4 linked regions of the Macaca mulatta genome follow. The protein of the gene in region 4 purifies or fractionates together with the protein of the main gene of each other region. This does not show direct contact. Links are inferred from orthologs where the notes say so. Each region holds a gene or a part of one and is shown on either strand. Other genes may lie near its edges.

What was found.
Region 1: the proteins of RBPJ (region 4) and FHL1 purify together in Homo sapiens (affinity purification with western blotting; 4 studies listed by BioGRID and IntAct, with this or other methods). This does not show direct contact. The link is inferred for Macaca mulatta from reciprocal best matches to the Homo sapiens genes RBPJ and FHL1.
Region 2: the proteins of RBPJ (region 4) and NOTCH2 purify together in Homo sapiens (affinity purification with mass spectrometry; 3 studies listed by BioGRID and IntAct, counting the BioPlex papers as one, with this or other methods). This does not show direct contact. The link is inferred for Macaca mulatta from reciprocal best matches to the Homo sapiens genes RBPJ and NOTCH2.
Region 3: the proteins of RBPJ (region 4) and RITA1 purify together in Homo sapiens (affinity purification with mass spectrometry; 4 studies listed by BioGRID and IntAct, with this or other methods). This does not show direct contact. The link is inferred for Macaca mulatta from reciprocal best matches to the Homo sapiens genes RBPJ and RITA1.

What each region holds. Positions count from the first base shown.
Region 1 is NC_133426.1:142,534,965-142,537,680, reverse strand, and holds part of FHL1 (four and a half LIM domains protein 1), read right to left. Parts: coding exon 2,585-2,716; intron 2,151-2,584; coding exon 1,953-2,150; intron 1,424-1,952; coding exon 1,205-1,423; intron 710-1,204; coding exon 523-709; intron 1-522.
Region 2 is NC_133406.1:120,363,114-120,366,613, reverse strand, and holds part of NOTCH2 (neurogenic locus notch homolog protein 2), read right to left. Parts: intron 3,159-3,500; coding exon 3,046-3,158; intron 2,348-3,045; coding exon 1,842-2,347; intron 506-1,841; coding exon 158-505; intron 1-157. UniProt on the Homo sapiens protein: Functions as a receptor for membrane-bound ligands Jagged-1 (JAG1), Jagged-2 (JAG2) and Delta-1 (DLL1) to regulate cell-fate determination.
Region 3 is NC_133416.1:120,434,792-120,437,074, reverse strand, and holds the end of RITA1 (RBPJ-interacting and tubulin-associated protein 1), read right to left. Parts: intron 1,551-2,283; coding exon 1,043-1,550; 3' UTR 501-1,042; downstream 1-500. UniProt on the Homo sapiens protein: Tubulin-binding protein that acts as a negative regulator of Notch signaling pathway.
Region 4 is NC_133410.1:25,359,663-25,363,772, forward strand, and holds the start of RBPJ (recombining binding protein suppressor of hairless), read left to right. Parts: upstream 1-1,310; 5' UTR 1,311-1,424; coding exon of another isoform or gene 1,425-1,444; intron 1,445-4,110. UniProt on the Homo sapiens protein: Transcriptional regulator that plays a central role in Notch signaling, a signaling pathway involved in cell-cell communication that regulates a broad spectrum of cell-fate determinations.

The sequences.
Region 1 (2,716 bases), on a different chromosome or scaffold from region 4:
TCGCGGCCGCGAGATGAGGAATGAAGTGATTAGCTTTGCTGATCGCAAAAACAAATAAACAGCAAACCAAAAAACAAAACAAAAAAAAAGAAACCCTGCCAACAGGCATCTCTGAACTAGCCTTCAAATATGGGGTATGACAATCCCAGATTATCACTCTTCGGCCTCCCTTCCCCCTTTCCCTTCCCCACCTCCCCCACCCCCCTTCTTTCTACCCTCCTCCCACCCCTCCCTGCAGAATCCCCCTGCAAAGTGGCAGTGCCTGCCGGTGTTGGCCGGCAGGTGTCAGGCTTGTGAACTTCCGGCATTGTTAGTCAACAGTCAGGAAGTGTTGTGTATTGCAAAGGCTAACCTGGCCTGGGGACGAATCCAAACTCTTGGGGGGCCTTTGGGACCACAATAGCAGGGGAGAAGGGCATACTCTGGGGGCCTTTGTGGATGAAACCGACGACAGGAAAATGAGAGATGGTTACCATGCGCAAAACCTAGCCTGGCAGACTTAGCAAGGACTCTTTAGCCTACCAGTGATGGGGTTCTTGCATCCAGCACACTTCTTGGCCACAAAGTTCTTGTAGCAATCCACGCAGTAATACTGGTCCTCCACAGCGGTGAAACGCTGCCCAGCCAGCTTCTTAGAGCAGGTAACACACACAAAGCAATCGGCATGCCAGGGCTGATCCTGGTAAGTGATTCCTCCAGATGTGATGGCCTAGACCAGGGAGTGTAGCACCGGATTCAGATTCAACAACCATTTTGTTGAATGCCTACTGCGTGCCAGGCACTGTGCTGGGCGCTTTGGTATACAATATCTCATTTAATCTCCACAACAGCCATGGGAGGCAGGGGCTATTATTATCCCCACTTTACAGATGAAGACACCAAGGCTCGGAGAAAGTGAGCCCCTATGTGAGGTTACACAACCCCTTAGTGGTGGAGGCAGGCCTCTGGAGCCAGGGCTGCCCAGCTTAGCATGCCGTACGGGCTACCCACACCACCGGGCTGAGGATGCATACCGACAGCCCAAGACTTGGCTTCGGCACTGCTTCCTAATCCACGATCTCCTCATCTGTAAAACGGGAATAATAATTCCTACGTCACAGGGCTGTCATGAGGATGGAATGGGATAGTGTGTGTGGAAGTGCTCTGCAAACTGTCAAACACTTCTAGAAACAACGGTCAATGCAGAACTCCCTTGAAAGCATACCTTGTTGCACTTCACGCAATGCTTGGCAAACTTGGTCTCATGGCAAGTCACGCAGTAGAAGTCCTCCCCTTTAGGGAAGAAGCTTCCAGTCCCGATGACTTGCTTGCAGTTACTACAGGTGAAGCAGTCTTTGTGCCAGACGGTCCCCTTGTACTCCACGTTTTGATCTCCTGCAGGGGGAAGCAATTGGATAGCCCCACTGACAGGCTCTGCAGGGGGCTGCATCCACTCAGCTCCCCTCCCCAGGCCCTCCAGAGGTGAGGGGATGCAGGCCCTGCAGTTACTGGCCTCACACCTCCAACTAACCTACCTGTGTTCTACTTATGCTTGTGCCAACCCAGGATTTCTGTCATGGGTGGGGACCCCAGCATTATTGTTTTAGGATCCGGTGCCTGAATGCCCCACTCCCCCACCTCTATACCCTGCGTGCACTTAGACATTAAATCAGGGACTACATGGCCCAGAATGACACCCTGAGGAAGAAGCATGCTTTCATCACTTACTACGCCCAAATGAGAAAGCGCTACATACTGTTCACTTCATTCTCTTGCCACAGGCTGTTCTCGCCAGTGTTCTTTAGTCTCCGAGTGTGTGCGTGTGTGCGAGCATATATGTGTACGCATATATACGTGTATGTATATGTGTACATATATATGCTAATATCTCAAAGCAGCTCAGAGCAACGTTAGCCCCACCGTGTTAAGCAAGCCCACATCACGTCTGCCCTCAGGGCCTCCTCCCTGGGAACCCGGGGTGGGAAGGAGGCAGTACCTGCCACAATGGCCTTGAAGCACCCCTTGCACTTGGGGGAGTCCTCCCGAGTGGTGCACTTGTTGCACAGGATCTTGTTGTCCTTGGCCACAAAGGTCTCATTGGCCAAGGGGTGAAGGCACTTGGCACAGCGGAAGCAGGTGTCGTGCCAGAAGCGGTTCTTATAGTGCACCTCCTGGAAACCAAGCAGACAGGGTGGGCCACATGAGGGGCGCTGGGGGTGGCAGCAGGAGCCCTCCCATAAGGCTGATTTCCCTGGGACTGACCACCGAGATGACACAGTCCCTTACACCTAGGGACTGCCCCACAGTGACTGTTCTTATGAGTGATAGGAGGGATGCTGAGATGAGGATAAAAATCTCACAATTCTTGAAATATTTAGAATGCAATCAGAAGAGCTGGCAATGGCCTTGTCACCCATCCAGTCAAGCCCCACATTAAACAGCTTGGGCCACTGTGGCCTGGGGAGTGGAGGAGGCTTCCTTGAGGCCTCAAGGTGGCTGCAGTGATGCTGGGAAATCCTAACGGCCAGCTGCTGCTGCCATGATTGTGGGTAAAGGACACTCTGAAGCCCAGCCCTTCCCACTGGCACGTGGGGATGCCCATTACCTTGGAGTCCGCACCGATGGGCTTGCGGCATTCCACACAGGTGTTGGCACAGAACTTGTCAAAGCATTTCAGGCAGCAGTGGTGGCCATCCTTTTGCACATACTTCTTCCCCTGCAAGGGGTCCCTGCAGTA
Region 2 (3,500 bases), on a different chromosome or scaffold from region 4:
TAAACATAAGTACTGGGGTAATGGGTTTATCTTAAGTGGTGGGCCATTCTATTTGTCTGATATTTGCATTTCTATAGGTTGAGTTATGACATGTGCTACATATCAAAGTGCTAGGCTTCATAAAATTAGCCTTGAAGTTCAGAAACCAAACACTTACCCAGCCACCTCCTGCTCTTGTTCACCAGGAATGGACCTGCGTGTCATCCTCTGTTTCTTCATGGCAGCTGACTTCTCACCATAATAGGGGTACACCATGAGCTCCCCCTGGGAGTCCCGCTTAATGCGCAGGTTGGTGTGGAGCAGGGTCCCCAGTGCCCGCAAGAAGCTGCGAGCATCCTGGAGCAGCTGTTCAGGTGGCATCAATACCACAATAACCAGGGTACCCTCTGCCAGGTTCTCAGGCTGGTCAGCAGCACAGTCCAGCCCATCCCAACCACACTCCTCACTGTTGCACCCCTGGTCACAGTGGTTGTCTTTGAAGTGGTCTGCACAGTATTTGTCATACCTAGGTAAGGGGAAGCAGAGAACAGGAGAAAGGGGCTCAGATTAGACTGGAGCTCTATTTGCTTTTTCATTTGGAACTAACTGTGGATTTTCCTACCCATTTTCTGTGGCCCACACCCAGGACCCAAATGCCCCACAAAACCTTCTTTGCATCTCCTATCCCTGATGTCATAGAGTATGTATAGTCTACGCCACTCATCCTTGTTGTGTACTTCCTAAATGAAGAACATTGTACTCACTACGCTGCAGGAGCTTAGGGACTCCCAGGCAGTTTACAATCCTGTTAAGTCAGGTTTTCAAACAAAGCTGCATATCTGAAACAAAAGTCAGCCTGGTTCATGCTTCCTCTACTTTGTATCCATTGTCCCCAATAAGGTAACAACGGGCTTTAGGAAGTGAAAGATGCCTCTAGAAACTTGATAAATGACCCTGAACCATTGAGAGTTGCCATAGAGAACCATATTAACATGACCCATTTCTTTCCCTTTCAAGAGCGAATCCCAGCTACAGAAGGTAAAGGGGGATGGGTATGTCCTTGTAGCACACCAGACCTTACTTGTACAGGCTCTTTCAATATTTGCAAAAGGAATTAGAACCCCCAAACCTAAATGATGTACAAACTATTTCATCTACACTCTCCTCTCCTCATACCCTACCCCTTGATATTTATACTACTTGGTACAACTTTTCATGCTATCTCAATCAAAAGATTAGGAGTCAATGAAACAACTTGCTCTGGCAAGTTCTTTAACCCTTGGGCCTAAGTTCTCTCACCTATGAAAGAATGTTAATAATACCTATGCCTCATGGGTTGTTGAGAATTAACTTGGATTAAATTAGATGGAATGGCTAATTAATAGGAAAGTTCCTAAGTAAACCATACAGCATCCTACAACTATAACAATTAAGGAGGGTTCACAGGCCTAATCTAATTCATGCTTCCTGATAAACCTGGGTGGGGAAAAACAGTCTTAGGGAAAGGAATGGGGTGAAGAGAGAGATACAGACCTTTCCATCCATCCTGCAGGCAGGTTATGTGAGAGGCTGCTTGAAGTGGGAAACACCACTTCCAAAAGTTATATCCCCCAGGAGGTCACGAAGGCAGCAGGTGAGAAGGCAGAGATAGGCAGAGAGAGAGGGTCATTATGCAATGAGCATTCCTGGCCCTTTGTCAGCAAGGGAGAGCACAGGGTAGTGTGCGATGGGACAAGGCTGGCACCATCTGAAAAGCAGAGGCAGCTTAGGCTGAAGCACTGGAGTGGTTAGGAGCAAGAACGAGAAACTGAAGTGTGTTAGTGACAGTCCCCTTCAGCTTCTGGAAAACGTGAAGCCCTTACTTGCATGTCTTGCTGTTCCCCTGGCATTCAAAGTTGTCAAACAGGCACTCGGCCGTGTTGCACAGCTCATCACACTGGTTGTTGATATAATCCCAGCAGGGAAGTGGGGAGGAGCAGTTGGCCCAGGGGTTCTCCATGGTGAGAGAACAGTCACCCCCATCCCACTGGCAGGCATGGCTGTTGCAGGCCTCATCACAGACGCCATCACGAGCTTTGTCGGCACAATATTGGCTCAAACAGGTGGCAGGAGGGGTGCTGGGGGGTGCCGTGTAGAGTTCACAGCGGCTACCCCAGAATGGTGGGGCACACTGGCAGGAGTAATAAGGAGGCTGGCGCTGAGGGTGGCAGCTGCCCCCGTGCTGGCAGGGGCTACTGGCACAGCCTGACTCGCAGTCCCGGGGGTTGGGGCAAAAGCAGCGGGGTCCAGAGGCGGTGTGCACACACTGCTCTCCTTTCCTACATTTCACTTGTCCACAGCTGCTCTGGCACCTTGCCCCGGAAAATCCCTGTGGAAATCAGTGAGGAAATAAAAATGGCATTGGTAGGAAAACAGTCATATTGGAAGTTTTGGGTTTCTAGAAAACCTCCACATCTCACTACTCCCTTCTGTACTTCCTGTTCAGCCCAAGCCAAGGTTACTAGACAGGTTTCCTTTTGGTATCTCCCGAGGCATAGGGATCTCTTGTTTTGGGAAGGTTTCAGCCTCTGGCAGTAATAAAAGAATGGGTATAGCAAAGAGCTAAAATTAAGCTTCCCTCTACTTTAAGAGACAACTTGCTTTCAAATGGTTCCTGCTAAAGAATGCAAGCAGAGCAGCATTTCCACCAACTCTGGCCCAACCTGGGCAGTGAGATTACCCTCCAGCATGGGGCCAAGAAGCCACATACATCAGCCCTATTTTCAAGGGGGCATTCCACCACTTTTTATGGTTTTCCCTTAGTTTTTCTTAAGACTGACAGTCATGGATTGGAAAGCTCACTGTTTCTGGGAGTATCTAAACAGCTTTTATTTACTTTTGTTTTTGTTTTGTTTTGTCGCTTGTAAACAGCTTTAAATGGAAGAACCCAAGTACTTTCTTGTGAAAGAGCAGAACTGAGAAATCTTCCCATTTGGAAGACTGATTAAACCAGGTTTAATCTCAGTTCTGTCACAGATTGTATGGAAGAGACAATGCCCCTTCTTAGATGAGCAACAGGGCACTTACCGGGGGACAACGGCAAATGAAACCATCAGGCATGTTACTGGCCACAGCACAAGTCCCTCCATTCAGGCAGGGCATCTGGGGACACACATCGACGAAGGTTTCACAGTGCCGGCCTCAGAAAATAAAAAATAAAAAAAGCTTTAAAAGGCAGAAGTAGTCACTACAAGTTACTGAACAAACTTTGCTGGAATGGGAACTAGCCATAGGTGGAGCAAGTGTGAGAGAGTTCAGTTCTAAGCCTGTGGTAATCTGAGCATAGGAAGAAAACACTCACTGTATCTCAGCATGATTGGCCTGTCACTGGCACAGGCCAGTCCCTTACTCTGTCTTGCCTCCACAATAAGTACCAACTCACACGACAGTATGGGTGAGAAAAGTGACTTAAATCCCACCAAAAAAAGAGAAATCACACTTCAGCTTCTTGAAGTCACTTTAGCTTTCATAAATTGCAGGAA
Region 3 (2,283 bases), on a different chromosome or scaffold from region 4:
CCTTACAGGAAGATGGGGGCAAGGAGAGGCCCAGAGCCCAGCCCACACTGCCCAATCCAGGTGCAATTCCATCTGTGCAAAGGCTTTGCTGCTTTTCCTAAGCCCTGGGCTGCATTCTAAGTGCTCTGCAGACACACGTGTCACTGTCTGGCTTTCTTGGACCCTCCACTTGGCATAGTCCTAGCCATTGTTTTATTTCCCACCTTAACAAACACACACACATACAAACTTAAAAACAAAACTAAAAAAATACTATTGTCTGTATTCTGAGCTCAGGAAGAGCTGGCCAACCACAAGTTAGTAGCATTAGCCAGAAGCCTATGGGAGGAAGAGTCCAGCAATTCCTGAGGCCCCGGGTTCCCAAACTTCAGTCACCCACTCACCACTGTCATGTTGTCTGCCACATCCTTGTACTACCTGTTGTATTTAACTTTGTTATTTAAATCAACTCAGGCTTAACAATGGCCTTTACCCTAAGGGGGAAAAAAAAGGAACATTCATGGCTTTGATAAGCTGATATATTTAGTACATGAAAATAAATACAGAAGCATATTAAGATGAAACAATGTTCACTCAAAAATCTCGCAGCTGCCCTTGTGTTCTCCAGGCTTCACACAGAGTCTGGGAAAACTCCTCTAGGGCTTGCAGACTCAGTTGGAAACTAATCCTGAGCAGGAAGCTTGGCTTGAAGGAGAGGGGACCCTCCAGGTTGGCAATTACACCATTTATTTGCACTTGGCAGCAAGAAAATGGATGATGTGGGAGGTGCCAGGCCCCTAGGTTGGCACTAATTTGGAGTGTGGTTGAGACAGGGCTGGAGACGGCATCTTAGAGGTGGCCCCCACATCCGCAATCGGGAGAAAAAGGCAGGAATCGACTAGAGATTGTCAGGATAAAGGGAGGCACTGCCCACCCCTGCTATGTCTGTCTGCCCCCACAGGGGCTTCATACCTGGGGTTCCCTGGGTGATGAATGTCCTCCTACCCTGGCAAGGGGCTACACCTCTCGCTGTGGCCCCATAGGCAACCCTGATGAAAGAGTATCATTTCCAAGGGGGCTTTGCTTTCTGGGTGGCCCCAACTCGTCGTGGGGTAGCTGGCACTGAAATGCTAACTGAGCGAGCCCTGGAAGTCACCAGGGGGCTCCGGAAGGTCACCCCTGATGTGGAAGGCCTGAGATCCTGAGGCCCATTTGTGTGGGAGGCACTGGTGGCTGGATGACCAGTGCTGGGGACATTCAGGTGGGTGAGGGAATGGGAAAGTCCCCGCCTCAGGGGGCATGAAGAGTGTAACCCATCCATGGATAACTTCTGGGAGTCTGCCGCCGCCCCCGGCTCTGTCTTGGAGGGACCAGCTGGGTGAATGGCTCGCAGTGGGGCCTCCCTGGGGCGGGGCGAGTGGCTACCCCTGGGGGTAGCTGGTGGTGTCCAGAAGAGAGCACGGAGCTTTGCGGCATCCCCCTTCGCCATCCGTGGGGCCCCGAAGCTGGCGCCCTCAGATCGGGAGCCAAACAGCGACTCATCACAGTAAGACGGGGTGTGGCTGATCAGTCTGGCAAAGGGAAGATAAACGCCATGAGCGGGGGGATGAACAACCCCTCAAAACTTTAACAGCTCTCCCACCCATCCCCAGGCACTGGCAGCAGCAGAGGAGGGTTCCCTGCAGATCCCAGGAGTCCCTGTCTCCCAGTCTGAAACCTATAGCGAGGCCATAGCCTTCTGTGGCACCACTGTCCCTGGTCTCCACTGATTTTACCTTGCGAAACATCCACTGCCCCTGCATCCTGACCCAATTCCCAGGCATGTGCCCCAGGCCTGGACAATTTGCATATTCCATCCTCCTGGCCACATGGATTGGTTCAGGAATGGCCAGATGACCCAAGCCTCTCCAATCAGAATCTGCCTTAGGACATTTGCAGAAACTACTAGGAAAGAGATGTTTTTCTGCCACCTGACTTTACTTCTTGCTAAGCTGATAGGATGTCAGCCCAAAGCAGTTTGTGGCCATCTCCTTCCTACTGGAGATTGAACGGCATGCAGGGAAAAGTAGCACTAAGGTGGAGACAGACAGTTCCAGCCACAGTTTGAGCCCCTCTTACAGGAGCCCCAAATGCCTTCTCCTGGGAAAGCCAGTTTGAATAAGTTTTCTGTCACTTGCAATCGAGAGTCACAATTAGTATAACCTTAGTCTTTAGAGCCTCCACTTTTTCTTTTTTTTTGTGAGACATGGTCTCACTCTGTCGTTCAAGTGGAGTGTAGTGGCACAATCACAGATCACGGCAATC
Region 4 (4,110 bases):
GGGGCACGTTCTCGCGAGGTTTAGGAAATTTCCCACGGCCGTGTTGTGTCTGAGCCGAGTAGTGGAAGGCGGTGGGAAGGAGGTGTAGCGTGAGACGCGACTGCCCGCATTGGGTGCATGCGCAGTGCCGCTCGCGCGGGCCGCGCCAATCCTGCAGCGCCTTCAGCAGGTTTCGGGCGGCGAATTCCAGTTCTCCGGGTTTTGGGGCTCCCTGCGGGAGGCAGTGCTGGATTGGGAATCTCTAGGAAAGGAAAGGGCAAAGGAGGGGAAAAATGGGGGGCTGCAGGTAGGAGGAGGGGGCGGGGTTCGGGCTCTGCACCTTGCTGTTCAATGCCCGGCGGGGCCAGGTTCGCCCGGGGGCTTCCGGCATCAGGCCGCCTGAAGCGCGATTCGGGCAGCCGGCAGCGTCTTCGGCTGTGCCAGGCCCTCGGGTGGCCCGGTTCCCTGTGCAGTAGTGGCCTCAACACACACCTGGGCTCACACACGGTGGCGGCTGCGATGGGGTCTTAGAGAGGCCATGTGGCACGCGAGCTGCAAGAGCTTTGATCAGGGCCTCTGGCCCGACTCGGAGGTGGGAGAATGTGGCTCTCAATTCCAAGGCAGTTTTCCCTTCTGGAGAGAACTACTCCGCACCCTGGCGTGTGTCTGCGAGGTGGCCATTAGGGGTGTCTTTCCCAGAGGCCTTGACTTGACCTCATTTCACACCTAAGGAGAACGCTAAGCCGAGAGAGCTCAACTGCAAAAGTTTTCCGTTTGCGGAGCTCTGGAAGGGCCTCCTCATTAGCATGGGGGTGTAATGAATGAAGACAGTTCCCGACGTGTCACTTGCCCGAACCCCAGGCACCTCTGACGCTCCTGCACCTAACGCCGAAATTAGCATAAAGGAGGCGCCCAGGGAACGTCTGAATGAATGAAAGGAGCTGGGAACCCAGAGTGAGCGGGAAGCCGCTTGGAAAACACCCATTGAGGAGGTGTTTCATCTAGGCCTGTGAAACGCGGCCCATTTTCCCAGGACCCCTCCTCCCTTCTCCTCGGCCCCGCCTCCTGACCCCTCCATTCCCCGTCCCCGTAGTAATCCCCTCCGGTTTTCCTCAGTCTCCACGTACGTCCCTCAAGGCGCGTCCCAAAACCTGGATAACCGGAGCGCTCCCCATGGACCACACGGAGGGCTCGCCCGCGGAGGAGCCGCCTGCGCATGCTCCATCGCTTGGGTAGGTTTCCAAGGGAGGCAGCGAGCAGGATCCCCTACTCTGCGGGCGGCGCGAGGCGTCTGGCTCTTCGCGGCGGCGGCGAGGGGAAAGGGAGCGCGGGGGCTGGGTGGAATCGAGGAGTGAGGAAAAAGGGAAGGGGCGGGGGAGAGGGACCAGGGAAGGCGTCGGGGGGAATCTCGCGAGGGTTGGAGTTTTGGCGAGAGTTTGTGGAAGATGGCGCCTGTTGTGACAGGGTAAGTCCGAGGGAATCGGAGCGCTGGGAACCGGGAAAGTTGCGGGCGTCTGGCAGCCCGCGGCGAGCGGCGGATTCGGGGGCCGCAGCGCGCTTGGCGTCCGGGGGCCCGCGGGGGCGGCGTCGCGTGCGCCGAGCGCGGCGGCGGCTGCGGCGTGTGACCGTGCGCTGCCTCTGCGCTGCCGTGGCTCGGGCTCCGGCGCGTGAGGGCGGGAGGCGGCGGCGAGGCCGGCGGGTGCGGGCGTGAGTGCGGCCGGGCGCGCGGGGCCCTCGGGCGCCGTGCCTCCCGCGCGCCTCCAGCGGGCCCTGCCTGGGGGCCCCGTGCAGCTTTGTTCCTCGCGGCCGTTGTCGCCGCCTCGCCCCGCTAGTGCCCCCGGCCCCGGGCGCTTTGTCTTTCCCCGCTGCCCCCCGCGACTCTCTACCCCCGGCCCTTTGTTTCGCCGCCTTGGGCGCTTTGTCCGACCCGTGGCGCCCCGCATCCTCTTTCCATCTCCTCCCCTCCGCTGTCCTTCCTCCCGTGCCCCTTTGTTGTGCCCCACTCTTGTCGGTAGCCCAGTGACCTGCCACAGCCCGGGCACCAGATTCCTGTCTTAATTGTTCTTCCATTGTCTTTCTCCTGTGGGTCCTCTCTCACCTTTCTCTGCGGTCCTGGATCCCCCCCCCCCGAGGCGTTGTCTCCCCCATCCATGGGCTTATTCTCTCGGCACCCCCTTCCTCTCCCGTCATCGGTTGATTTATCCACTACCCCCGGTGTACGTCTGCTGAACTGTCTCAGCCCCGGAGACTCCATCTGCTGCTTCTAAGTGCACACAGACTCTACGGTTTGTTGTTGTTTTGTGAGTCTGAAAGATGCATGGGATACTTAGTTTCCTCCTCCGCACCCCTTTTTCTCGGGATTTCTTGCACCCCCCGCCCCCCCATCGCCACCCCTTTCTTTCGGGATTAAAGCGTCTCCAATTTTCATCGCCGTCTCTTTAGTGCGGTGGGTTGTTTTGCTTGGAAACAGTAGCCCTGGAAAAAGGTCTGGTCTCTTGGTGGTTCTTGCGTCCCCCGGCCCCCGGCCCCCGCCCCCCTCCTGGTTCCTGACGGCCTAGGCCAAGGGCAGCTGTCTGTCGAAGCTTTGCATTTAGGTTGCCTGAGGATGATTGGAGGGTATCGTAGGACGGTTAGAAGGAGGCTCAAGATGTATATATGTGTTTTTCTGTTAGTGTTTGAGAATAGTTTCAGATATCCACAATGGATATTCATTTGGCATGTGAGTAGGAGTTGAGTGAATTTCCATGTTGAAAACTTGTGAGTGTTGGGGCGGAGAATTTCAGCATTTTCTAGAAATCTGGATTTAGAATTTATCAGAAACTCCTGCCTCATAAGGAAAAGGAGAGGCATTCCGGTTGGGAATTTTATATAAATGTTTTACTTTTTCTTAATCATTAGATGGTTTACAGTTATGTGCGTTTTTGCTGCTCTGTGGATGCGTGACAACCCTTCTGTCCCATCACTGGGGTTGAAATGAGGACAGCACCGAAGAGTGCAGTTTCTGATTGATGAATACTGCTTCTAGGATCTTTGTGGAAGATATTAATCAAATGCAGTAAAAAGTATACGTAAAGATGTATATTATATATATGTAATAGCCTGTAGTGAGATTATTTTAAAGACACTTCCTAGTGTTAAAGGACCCTTGAAGTGTTCTTACTGTTTTGGTAATGCTAAAAGCTTGGGGTTGTGTGAATGGGGATGGGGGGTGTGGTGTGATGTCTTTTAATGAGTTATTCTCGTGCTAGGAATAAGAGTTATTATATTTACCAGGATTACTATGCTGAATGTATTCTTCAAGAGTGAGTTTGTTTCTACTAGTTGGTCTCTACTTTTAGAAGGTATGTTACACATAAAATCATTTGGAGTGTCATTTCATTTACAAACTGAAGTTCTACAATAGTAAAGTGTTGTTTATAGAGGACATATGAGATCTACTCTAACGAGTATTGGAGCATTGGAAAGTATTTTTTTTTTCTGGCTGTGATTAGAATTAGTAGTTTGAGTTTTAATTAATGGAAAACCATGGTTTCATGATTGATACTTAAGTTTTTTTTTGTGAAAATCTGCAGTCTGGGTCGCATGAGTGGGTTTTACCAATAATCTTATGTCTCCCTTACTTGTTCTTGTACATAATGATTCTTTTGAAGGTAAAATCTTAAGCTCACTGGTTTTCTGACTGGGAGCAAAGTGTAAATACTGTGTAATAATGGAGGGTATTTTGCTCTGACTTGTACCTGTAGAATGATTACACAGACATGATAAAAGCGCTTTTACCATTTGAGTTGCGTTTTTCTTTCTAAATCGTGTAAGACTTTTACTTTGTGGTGAAATAAAACTGCTTTTAATTAAATTATAACAGCAGCATATTTCGAAATCTGGATGAGTTGTGGCTGGAGAACTTTCATTCTGAGTATTAACTATTAAAACTTTAAGTTTTATTATCCATGCATATTGCTGATGGATCTGTGATTATATTTTCAGAAAATGAGACTTGCAGTATTTTCACATCTGTACTGTTCAAAACACTTGTAGGCTTTAGATTTTAAGCAGTTAGATTTGTTAAAAAAATTACCTATTGTCCTATACCAACGGATTTCTGTCAATTTTTTTTTTTAAGTGGGTAAGATC